Caenorhabditis elegans: one gene and its partner. The protein of the gene in region 1 purifies or fractionates together with the protein of each later gene. This does not show direct contact. Each region holds a gene or a part of one and is shown in the gene's direction. Other genes may lie near its edges.

Region 1 (7,949 bases):
ATAAATTCTAAATTCTTACCACTTTCGAGCATTCAAAAGCATAATTTCAGACAAGAATTTCCAGACTCCCAGAGGTCCGTTGCAGAATTTGAAAGCATATTCTTGTAGCCAATGATCTCAGCTTCCGTTTGGCATATGTGGCGTCTCTAGGTACCTCACCCCTAAGCTGACCTAGTCAGAATTTTCATTGATTTTTCATAAAGAAGAAGTCGTGAGAAAAACGATGAATTGATGAAAATTAAGCAGAAACGAAAATTCGAAACTACATTACTCACTGCTTTTCGAATTTAACAAAAATATTGCCATACCGAGACCGGCAACTGTATTTTTGGCGGAAAAGTATTATCTAAAGCATAAACTCACCAAAAACCGCAACTGTCGCAACAAAAGATAGCAGAATTACGAGTTTCATGTTGATTGTGTATGTTTGGCTTACTGTAAATGAAATTTTTTTTTTCGAAAGAAACAATTATAATTTTAAAAAATCATACGTTCTTCTCGATCTCTAGAACCGAAGAAGTTTGGGTGGCGCTGGAGGGTGACGCGGCAAGAATGAGTAGCTCTCGGAGCCGCCGTTCAGGCCACGCCCTGCTCTAGGGGGCGGGCATGCGCAACAAGGGCCGTCACGAGAAAGAGAAGGAAAAAATAAGGATGACCTATGTGCCCTTCTAGAACATTGAAGATAATCAAAAGCGATGAAAAATTGATGACGTCATCAGCTCGCCGCGAAAAAAGAGCGGCGTTGCGCGCCAAAAGTGTGAAAGACTGAAAGTGTTATCAGTACCATGTAAGATAGGGGGGGGGGGGGGGGTTTATGTCGAGAAGGCATACACAGGTGGAGTCTTTCAAAATTAGACACAGAAATTATTGGAGAAGAATAGAGCGGGGCAAACACTATTTTTGGGTTTCCGTGTTTTTTTTTCCGCTTCGTTTTCTCTTCCAGTGACGCATTGTCTCTGAATTGGAAATACAAGAGTCTCACCTATACCTGGAGGCCTCCATGGAGGTCGTAATGTTTGTCGGAGTAGAGTTATTACGGGAAAATATTTTACGCGCAAAATATCTCGTAGCGAAAACTAATGATTACTGTAGCACATGTGTCGATCTACGGGCTCGAATGAAATTAAATTAATTCAAATCATTTATTTATTTATTTAGAATATTAATTGAGCGAAAAAATGTAATTAAAAATTCATTCCTGAAAATCGAGATTCCGTAAATCGACACAAGCGCGCTACAATAGTCATCAGTTTTCGCTACCTTAAAACTTGCAAATTTCCGCGACTTTTCAAACCAATCAGCGACTTCGAACTCCGCCTACTCGATCTGATTGGCCGGAATATGGGGCGGAACGAATCTCTGTTCGGTCGCAGTTCTAATTTTGGAGGGAGTTACGGACATAATTTAATAATAGATTAAATATTAGAAGAAAACAGAAAAATGGCAAAAAATACGAAAAGACTATACCAAATTGAATATGGCTGTCACAATTCGAGCAGAAATTCGTTTCGAGAATCGAGCCCGTAAGTCAACACAAAGGCTACAGTAGTCTTTTGAAGAATTGCTGTAGTTTTCGCTGAGCGTCAAATATGTTGCAGCAATGAGAGTTACAAACTACAGTACTCTTTAAAGGTGCATACCTTCACATTTAACAAAAATAGTCGTGTCGAGACCGTATGCCGTAAATCGACACTGATAGCCGTGGCCTAGTTTTCCAGATTTTTCTTGTGTTTCTCTTCCATTAAAAAAACGCACATGTCTGTTTATCTTTCTCGTAATAATTTTCCCGATGAACTAGTAAATATAAATATCTCATTTCCAGTATCATCATCATATCCGTGACCTCTCGTCTTTTCGTCACAAAAGTCTCCAGATTGCTCGGAGCAGCTGTCACAACATCAAAAATGAGCTCTTCATCATCTTCTAGAATTCACAATGGTGAAGATGTTTATGAAAAGGTACAAAATCAAAAAGTTCGGCCAGCACGCAAATCTTTTGCGGAGAATTTTAGACCAAAAATTAAAAAAAAAACCGAAACATTTTTTGAAAAAAAACTTTTTTATTTAAAATTATCGAAAATACTAAGTTTTTCTGAAAAAAGCTGAAAATTTGAAAAAAAAACTCTATAACATGTAAGAATTTTTGAAAAAAACTAAAAAAAAAATTTTTAAGTCTCAAAACAATGTTTTCAACTATTCTCTTTCAGGCGGAGGAATACTGGAGCCGCGCGAGCCAGGACGTCAACGGAATGCTCGGCGGATTCGAAGCGCTTCACGCGCCCGACATATCGGCGTCGAAACGATTTATTGAAGGACTGAAGAAAAAGGTATAGAAATCATCGATTTTTCAGGAAAAGCAAGAAAGATCGGTTTAAAAAATTATGAAATTTTATTTTAAAAATCGAAAAATCAACAAAAAAAATCGAAATTTTAGAATTTTTCTAAAATCGGTAGTTTTCGAAATAAAATAAAAATGTTATTTTAAAAATTATTTTAAAAAATTTCGAGAAATTCAAAAATCGAACAGAAATGTTCGATTTTTTGCTACAGTGCATTTTTTTTCCACTTCTACGACTTTAAAGGGGGGCGCATTTATGCGGAAGGGTCTTGCCGTGCACATAGTCATCATTTTTAACAAAGTCTGCTCAAAATTCGCGGAGATCACGCGTAGATCACAATTAATTTGTGAAAAAGCAACAGAAATACGAAATATGGGATAAATATTTTGTGATCTTCATGTGATCTACGCGAATTTTACACAGAAACTGCTAAAAATGATGACTAAATGCGCGGCAAGACCCTTCCGCATAAATGCTCCCCCCTTTAAAGTCGTAGAAGTAGGAAAAAATGCACTGTATGGTGAATTTGAAAATTTTCTAAAAATCCGAATAATTTAGTATATTGGGGTTTCGACGAAAAATGCCAATTTTTCAGTAATTTCTGGTCTTTTCTAAAAAAATCTACATATTTCAGATCTCTTCCTCCTTTTCCGAGTTTTTTCGTTATTTTTTCTAAACTCACAGTATATTAGCGAATTTTCAACAAATTCGACAAAAAATTCTGACTGTTTTCTAGAAAAAAAAAAAGGCGGCATGCGCAAGTTTCAAAATTTGCCGCACACCTCTGGGCATTACCTTGAAAGTATCAATGGAAAAGTGTCGCAAGATTTAATTTTCTGATATTCCCCCCCCCCCTCCCGTTTTACTTGTTTCTAGGTTTGAGTTTACTTAAATTAATAACAAAACTGGGAGATATATGCTCGAAAATTAGACAGAATCTCTGCCTGGACGATTTCTAGGCTACGCCGTCATTCCCATAGTTTTCATAATCTTTCGGCTCAGTGATCGAAGCTCGCCGCGCCAGCCGGCACAGTAAGATTTAAAATCAGGTTATCACCCCATGCGTGAAGATTTTTTTCGTGTTTTTTGTCTGAAAAATAATGACAAATCTGTGTTTGGGTAGGCCTAATGAGGTCACCTGATTACGGCTGATGAGCAAAGCAGAACTTTTTTTGCAAAAAACTTATCATTGGGGGGTTCTGAGAAATAGACGAATTTCTGAGAAAGTTATGAGAAATAAATAGACGGCCTAAAAACCCCATGGCCGAAGCTTTTTTCTAGATAGCATAATGATGGCCTAGAAAAAACTCTACCACTGGAGAAACTTAATCGGTGTGCTCATTTTCTACCTGGTCGGGGATTTTGGAAAACTTTTCCACACCTCGTAACGACTTGAGGATAACTCAGCTCTGTCGAAATAGCATCCTGATGGCCTAGGAAAAGCTCTTCCACTGAAAATGTTTGGTCGTCCTGTCTATTTCTCTCATGGTCGAAGATTTTCAAAACTCTTCCACAGCTCCGAACGACGACCTGTAGTCACGATCAGGATTTGGAGGTCAATTCTCCTCGTACGATATCTTCTCACCTGAAAACTAGGTGAATTCCGTCGTGTGGAGCCTGAACGCTTCCCATTTTCACGTGACCGAAAATTTTGTAAGACCTCTTCCACCTCGAATTTCTCGGCAGAAGTGGGGTACTGTAATCTCAATTTTCTGGCAGATGCTCCAAAATGTTAATTTCTGTAATTTTCGAATTTTCGATGCACCATGTCTGAAATAATACCAGCTGGAAGAGTTTTCCAATTTTCTAGGCTACGCGGCAATTTCTGACCTTTTAGAAAGTTGTTGCAATATAGGTTTGCTATGAAAAATTCAATTAAATCTTTTTCCGAGTCTTCTTTCCCGGAAATCAAATAAAACGCCGAAACTTTTTTCTCATTTTCTTTTGATGGAAAATGAGAAAACACGGCAGATTTTCAATATTACTTTGGCACCCAAAACGCTTTTTGTTTTCAGAGAATGATTCTTTCTTGTTGTTTGCCAACGCACGCCACACATTACCACATATGACGAATCTTCCGCTTGTTTCGAAAATGACTTTCAATGGGGAGAGAAAGGGGAATATTCTTGAAATATGAGGCAAAAGTTGCGATTTTTTTGGAGTTGACTGATGGGAAATGCGCATAAAAAGGCGGTGAAAGGCTAAAAGTTTGTAAATCTGGTGTAAAAACTCGGATCCTAGAAATATACCCAAATTTAATGAGGTCTGAACTGAAATTTTCTGTATTTATTTTAAATTTATTATACTCAGAGAAGGAGTGAAGGTTCGGAATTTTTCTATAGACCCTATTTATTTTCCTGATTCCGAATATCAATGTGAAAAAATTAAAACAAATTTTCCTCATTTTCATAAATTTTTGTAACCAAGTGTGAAATTCAAACGACAATTTTTGTCGCTTACAAAAATTTATATAAAATCAGGGAATTTTTTTTGAATTTTTCACATTGGTATTCGGAATCAGAGAACATAAATAGGGTATATAGAAACATTTTCGTTTTCCTTTATTTTATAAATTCTGAAATTTTCGTATAAACCACGACACGGCTAACAAATTTGCATGAAAGTTTTTTAGCCTTAAAAAAAACAACATTGAAAGAATGATGAATAATGGTTTTTGACGGAATATAGGCGATAAACGCCAAAAAGTGTCTATCGTATAAATTTTGAGACTGACGGGGGCTATACGTTTATGAGCCGTAGAAAATTTTATTTTCATCAAATTTTTATGAGATTAACATTCGGTCGAACATATAGGGGTTTTCAAACCCCGATTTTGAAAGTATAGGCCCAAATTGTGCTCAAATAAACGAATGTCGTAATAATACTTCTCAAAAATGGTTCAAAGTTTTTTATGTGGCTCAAAATTTCGAAAAATGGCCCAATTACCGAAATTAGACTTTTCGGCAAACGGGAAAAACGGCAAATGCAAAATATTTTTGCCAACTTGTGGGTTTGCACATGTTTTTTTGTTGGAAATTTCAGAATTTCAATTTTTAAAACAACAAAATTGTCCTACATCTATTCTGAAAAGTCAGTAAATTCTATAAAAATATCTGAAGAAAACGGGAAAAAAAATTCAAAAAAGCACTGTGTTTCCGTCTTAATAAAAATTCCTTTGAGAAATTCCTGCAAATTGATATCCGGCAAACGGAAAATCGTCAGTTTGCCTGAATTGAAAATTAAATTTAAAAAAGGTAAATTCGGCGAACCGGCAAATTGTCGTTTTTGTCAAATTTTCGGCAAATTCAGAAAATTGACAATTTGCCGATTTGCTTGAAATTGCCGGTCACCCCTGGGCCAACTTTGAATTTTATAAATATTTTCCAGAATCTATTCGGCTACTTTGACTATGCACTGGACTGCGGAGCGGGTATCGGACGTGTTACAAAGCATCTCTTAATGCCATTCTTCTCGAAAGTTGATATGGAAGACGTCGTCGAGGAGTTGATCACGAAAAGTGATCAATATATTGGAAAACATCCACGAATTGGAGATAAATTCGTCGAAGGACTGCAGACGTTTGCACCGCCCGAACGACGTTATGATTTGATATGGATTCAATGGGTTTCAGGGCATTTGGTTGATGAGGATTTGGTTGATTTCTTTAAAAGATGTGCGGTAAGCACTAGATAGCACTGAAAACTGAAAATATGTTGAAAGTTTATAAATAAGAGGGGGTCTTATTTATTACGTTCATAAATAAAGCATGTAGTTTTTAAACAAAATTCTAGGTAATTGAAATGCTTTGAGTAAAACAGAAAAAAAAATATTTTCGATGCTCCGGTTATTTTTTAAGCGAAATAAAATTGGATTCTTTCTGTAATGAAAAAATAGTAAAAAACAATATTCAACCGAAAAAACTGAGTCTAGAAAATCTGTATCGGTTAAAATTTTTTTTTAAAACAACAATTTTTCACATTAAAAAGTCAATTTCGTACATTTTTTCCGATTAAAAATTTAAATTTAAAAATTAAAAACATTTACTTTTTCGATTTTCTTTCAAAAAAAACCACTGAAAAATCCGGAACATTCGGATTTTTTTTCAATCAATACGATCTCCTTGATTTACAACCTGTTTTATTAAATTTTCAATTTTCCTTTTTATTGAAAAAATCGGGTTTTTAAACTTATGTCCGGTCATTTCCCTAATTTTCAATTTTAAAATTAAACTATTTGCTTACCTGTAATTACAATTTTGACCACAAAACAGAAATTGAAATTTTTCGATTTTTCAGTTTTTTAAAAGATAAAACCCGAAAAACGTGCAGGCCTGGTGGTGGACTCAAAAGTTGAGAAATCTCTGAAAACTGTTTCATTTAAAATAATTCAATTTTTTTAAAATTAATTTTCATTTTCAGAAAGGACTGAAACCTGGTGGATGTATTGTGCTCAAGGATAATGTGACAAATCACGAGAAACGGTTATTCGACGATGATGATCATAGTTGGACGAGAACAGAGGTGCTGGTTTGAGAAAAAATAATAAAAACTTTGAAATTAAAAAAAATTCACAAAAGGCTCATTTTACAAATTATTCTGCAAAAAAAACATTCGAAAACAATTAAAATTTTGAAAAAATGAGAAGGGTGTGTCGATTTACGACGAATTTTTGGACAGTTTGTACAGTTTAAAAAATTTTTGTTTTTGAACCAGTTTTGCCAATTTTTCAAATATTCGCCGAAAAACGGTTCAAATTCACAAATTTTAGCCAAAAACTGTATAAACTTGCCCACGTGTAGTACAAAATCGTTAGTGAATCGACATGCATAAAAAACGCCAAATTCCGAAATATTTAATATTTAAAATTAAAATTCATTTAAAATTGTTGTTTCGTCTCGAAATTTAGAAAATATATTCTGAAAAAGGACATATTTCTTTTATTTTGCCAAAAATTTCAATGTTTTCACCCAGACTCGAAATTTCGCGATATTCGGGTCAAAAATACTGTAATTGGGGTCTCGACACGACACGTTTTTGCGAAATTCGAGCAGGCGTGCACCTTTAAAGAATACTGTAATTTCAAACTATTGTCTCATAGTTTTTTGTTGAAAAGTGATTTATTTAAAGAGAAAAACTATGAAAAATATATGAAAATTCCACAGAAATGAAGTTTTTAAACTACAGTACTTCTTAAAGACACACGCCCGTTTGTATTTCACAAAAATTGTCGTGTCGAGACCCCACTTACTGTAATTTTAGCGCGAAAATCGCAAAACGTCACGTTTGGATAATATCGAAGACAATTTGCACGAAAACAATTTTTTACTAAACATTTTTTAAAACAATTCATTATTCAGCCCGAGCTTCTTAAAGCGTTCGCCGATTCTCAACTGGACATGGTCTCGAAAGCACTGCAAACCGGATTCCCAAAGGAGATTTATCCAGTAAAAATGTATGCATTGAAGCCTCAACACACCGGATTCACCAATAATTGATTTAAATATCGATTTTTATTCGTTTAATTGCAATTTTCCCGAAAATTTCATGTTTTACATGCGTGCTCACGTTATTTCTGTTAAATAAATGTTAAGCAATATTTTAGATGATATTCT
Region 2 (3,427 bases), on another chromosome or scaffold:
AGGCAGCTTGGTCTCGAGTGGAAAAACGCGTGTTTTCCTCTCGGACAACATGGCAATTAATTTTTTTAATGTGAATATTGGTTTCTTTTTTATTTCATTTATTATGCATAATTTTATGCTAAATAGTACACTTCGTTATTAAATTTTTTCAAAAAAAGATTAGTTTATTTAAGTAAATATTTATTTTAAATGCAAAAAAATGCAATTGAGCGAAGAGAAAGAGGCGTTGACGGAGAAATAAATAGAGAAGTGCGGCAGAGCGCTCTTGCATTGCACACCGCTCAACAGATTTTTCCTTCAATTCCTCTTCTTCCTTTGCTAAATATTTCCGTTATTCCTGTTATGACACGCATCGTAAAAATAACAATTGATATATTTCTTCCAGGGTAATCATGCTAGCCGGTAGTCAGGCTCTTCGCCACCTTTCTACTGCTGCACAAAACCAAGGGTAAGTGTGTAAAATAGATTTTTCTATTTAATAGTATTTTCCAGAGCTTGCGGTCCTGCAGTCAAGCTTCTTCTGATTCAATATGGTCTGGAAAATCGAAAAATTGATGGAACAGGCCCAAAAAACAAAAATATTCTGAAAGGCGATGTTATGAAAATAGTTGAAGCTGAAAAGCTGAAGCCGGTGGCTCATCATGCACATGCTCCAAAAGAAACACATATTGAAAATAAATCTATTGAAAAGGTTTGGAAAAATGTTTCAAAAATTACATATTGTTTTGTTTTGCAGAAATCAGACATTTTCGGCGCCAACAATCGCAGTCTCCGTCATCACCAAGATATTCCTCTCAGCAATATTCGAGCAACAATCGCAAAACGATTGACAGCTTCTAAAGTAAAAATTCGAAATGTTATTATTGGAGAAAATATTTTATTTCAGCAGCAAATTCCTCACGAATATCAAGGTGTTGACGTTCGAATTGACGATATTCTGGCGTTGAGACAGAAATTGAAAAAATCCGGAACTGCTGTTTCGCTCAACGACTTTATCATAAAAGCCGCAGCCCTTGCACTGAGGGTAGGCTTTTCAAAATTTCTTCGTAAATGAGAGCTCTATTTCAGTCCGTGCCGACAGTAAATGTTCGATGGACTCCAGAAGGAATCGGTCTCGGATCAGTCGATATTTCGGTCGCTGTGGCTACTCCAACCGGCCTTATCACTCCAATTGTAGAGAATTCTGATATTTTGGGCGTTTTGGCGATTTCTAGCAAAGTGAAGGAGTTGTCGGGATTGGCGCGAGAAAGCAAATTAAAACCACAACAGTTCCAGGGAGGATCTTTTACGTGAGATTTATTCTATTTGTTTCGGTTACTTCAAATATAATTACAGAAATTATTGAAACGTTCACAACGTTCAAAAAATGTATCCACATCAAACAACTTCTAGAGATCTTTGAAGTTTTTTATGTTTCTGTTCTAATTTCTCGTAAGAGAGAAGAATTGATAAAGAAATCACATGATAATCATGCAAATTTAAAAGCTATCATCCCGAAATGATACAAAAATTAGAAAATTTCAGAATTTCGAATCTTGGAATGTTCGGAAGTGTGACCAACTTCACAGCCATCATAAATCCACCGCAATGTGCCATTTTGACGATCGGAGGAACTCGTTCTGAAGTTGTATCTGTTGATGGACAATTGGAGACACAAAAATTGTAAGGACTGATACCTAGGAAATTAAAAAAAATCTCTGCCATCAAAATTAAATAATCCCATCAGATTAATATGTATTTTTTTCTAGAATGGGTGTCAATCTTTGTTTCGACGGACGAGCAATCTCCGAAGAATGTGCAAAACGATTCCTTCTTCACTTCTCCGAATCGCTTTCTGATCCGGAATTGCTCATTGCTGAACCACTTTCTCCAGAACTCGATTTTGATTTTTCGCGTTTATTGTAGTTTCGAATTAGACAGGATTCTCATACTCTTCATAGCACCGATGTACTCTAATATTAGATAAAATGAAGTCGAATTTTTAATTTGAATGCAATTCGAAATTTGAAAACACTTTCCGCGTGAATCGCCCTAAAAATATCGCGTCGTCCAACATTTTCTTCCACAATTTTCGATTATTTTCAAGATGTCCCCTTCACTTCTTGGTTCATCATTTCTTCGCTCAGCTTCTGGCAACTTCACAAAGTTCGCAAGTATCCGAAATGCACACTTTTTGTCATCGGTTCCAATGAAGAAGCGTGGAGTTGATGGAAATCTACCAAAAGATTATTTCGAAAATAAGGTAGGACTGAATAATTTAAATCACCTATTTACGTTGCAAAATTTATTTTCAAAAATTGAAAAAAAAAGAATTTCAGACAGTAGTTGTCTACTTCTCAGCTGGATGGTGTGGATCCTGCAAATTTCTGACTCCAAAGATCAAGAAATTCTACAATGCTGTAAAAGAATCGGATGCTGGAAAGAATCTGGAAATCGTATGGGTGTCGAAGGACAAAGAAGCAGCCCACCAAGAAGAATACTATGAGAAGAATCTTCCAGACTGGCCATATATTCCATTTGGAGATGAAAATATTCAGTGAGAGAAATTTCCAAAATTTATACTGAAAAAAATTATAATTTTTCAGAAAGCTATCGGAAAAGTACAAAGCAGTGGTGATACCGGTTCTGAAACTCGTTAACTCCAATGGAGATGTCGTTCATGATCGTGTCCGTGCTGACGTAGAAGCTGGAATCAAGGCGGATCCTGTGAAGACTATGGAGGAATGGAAGAAATTGTTGAATCAGTGATTTACACAGATGACTCAACTAGACTTGAATATTATGTACATTTTAGTAGAGAAAACATTGATTATGGGTTCTTTTAAGTAAATAATTTCCATTACAATTTGTTCTTTTTCTCACCAATATTTTCCAGACGAACACTAAATACAAAAAATGCATTCTCGAAAATTCTCACATATATTCCCCATATACATCCTGTTATTCTCTCCCATTCCGCTCACTGAACAACAGCATCAGAAATAGAGAGTCTGAACCTACACGACAACGAAAATAATGATAATGAAACGAGAAAAGCACTAAAAATGGGCAAGGCGGTGTGTGGTTGCTATGGGATTCCATCTCTTTCCCCTCTAACTGATTAGAGAAGCAGTCGGGCAAAAAAAATATTGAAAGGAAAAGTACGCGGTTTTGTTTGGCTTCGTCTCATTTTTTCGTATAGTCTGATGTTCTAATGTTGATGGCAAAAGACATTATTGAAATGGAGGAGAGCGGTGGGTTAACTTCTAAAATTGCTATTTTTATTTCAAAATCTTAGTTTGTGGTAATAAAAATATGAGAGGACGTATGGCAGATACATAATAAGTATATGTATTTTTAATGCAAAAATGCAAGAATTTAAGATATGGGCGGAGACTGTTGTGCTAAATTTCACATTTTATGGAACTGTCATTTTAGCAGAAAGTAT

What was found.
Region 2: the proteins of homt-1 (region 1) and C30H6.8 fractionate together in Caenorhabditis elegans (co-fractionation; one large-scale study listed by BioGRID). This does not show direct contact.

The regions. Positions count from the first base shown.
Region 1 is NC_003279.8:4,104-12,052, reverse strand, and holds homt-1 (Alpha N-terminal protein methyltransferase 1), read left to right. Parts: upstream 1-1,822; 5' UTR 1,823-1,904; coding exon 1,905-1,958; intron 1,959-2,206; coding exon 2,207-2,326; intron 2,327-5,725; coding exon 5,726-6,016; intron 6,017-6,756; coding exon 6,757-6,858; intron 6,859-7,694; coding exon 7,695-7,832; 3' UTR 7,833-7,937; downstream 7,938-7,949. Other genes in the region: nlp-40 (Peptide P4), read right to left, coding at 364-412. UniProt on the Caenorhabditis elegans protein: Alpha-N-methyltransferase that methylates the N-terminus of target proteins containing the N-terminal motif [Ala/Pro/Ser]-Pro-Lys when the initiator Met is cleaved.
Region 2 is NC_003282.8:17,380,243-17,383,669, forward strand, and holds C30H6.8 (protein-disulfide reductase), read left to right. Parts: upstream 1-2,086; coding exon 2,087-2,242; intron 2,243-2,318; coding exon 2,319-2,536; intron 2,537-2,585; coding exon 2,586-2,748; 3' UTR 2,749-2,837; downstream 2,838-3,427. Other genes in the region: dlat-2 (2-oxoacid dehydrogenase acyltransferase catalytic domain-containing protein), read left to right, coding at 393-448, 493-691, 737-841, 887-1,024, 1,069-1,289, 1,525-1,662, 1,749-1,905; C30H6.12 (BESS domain-containing protein), read left to right, coding at 3,194-3,233.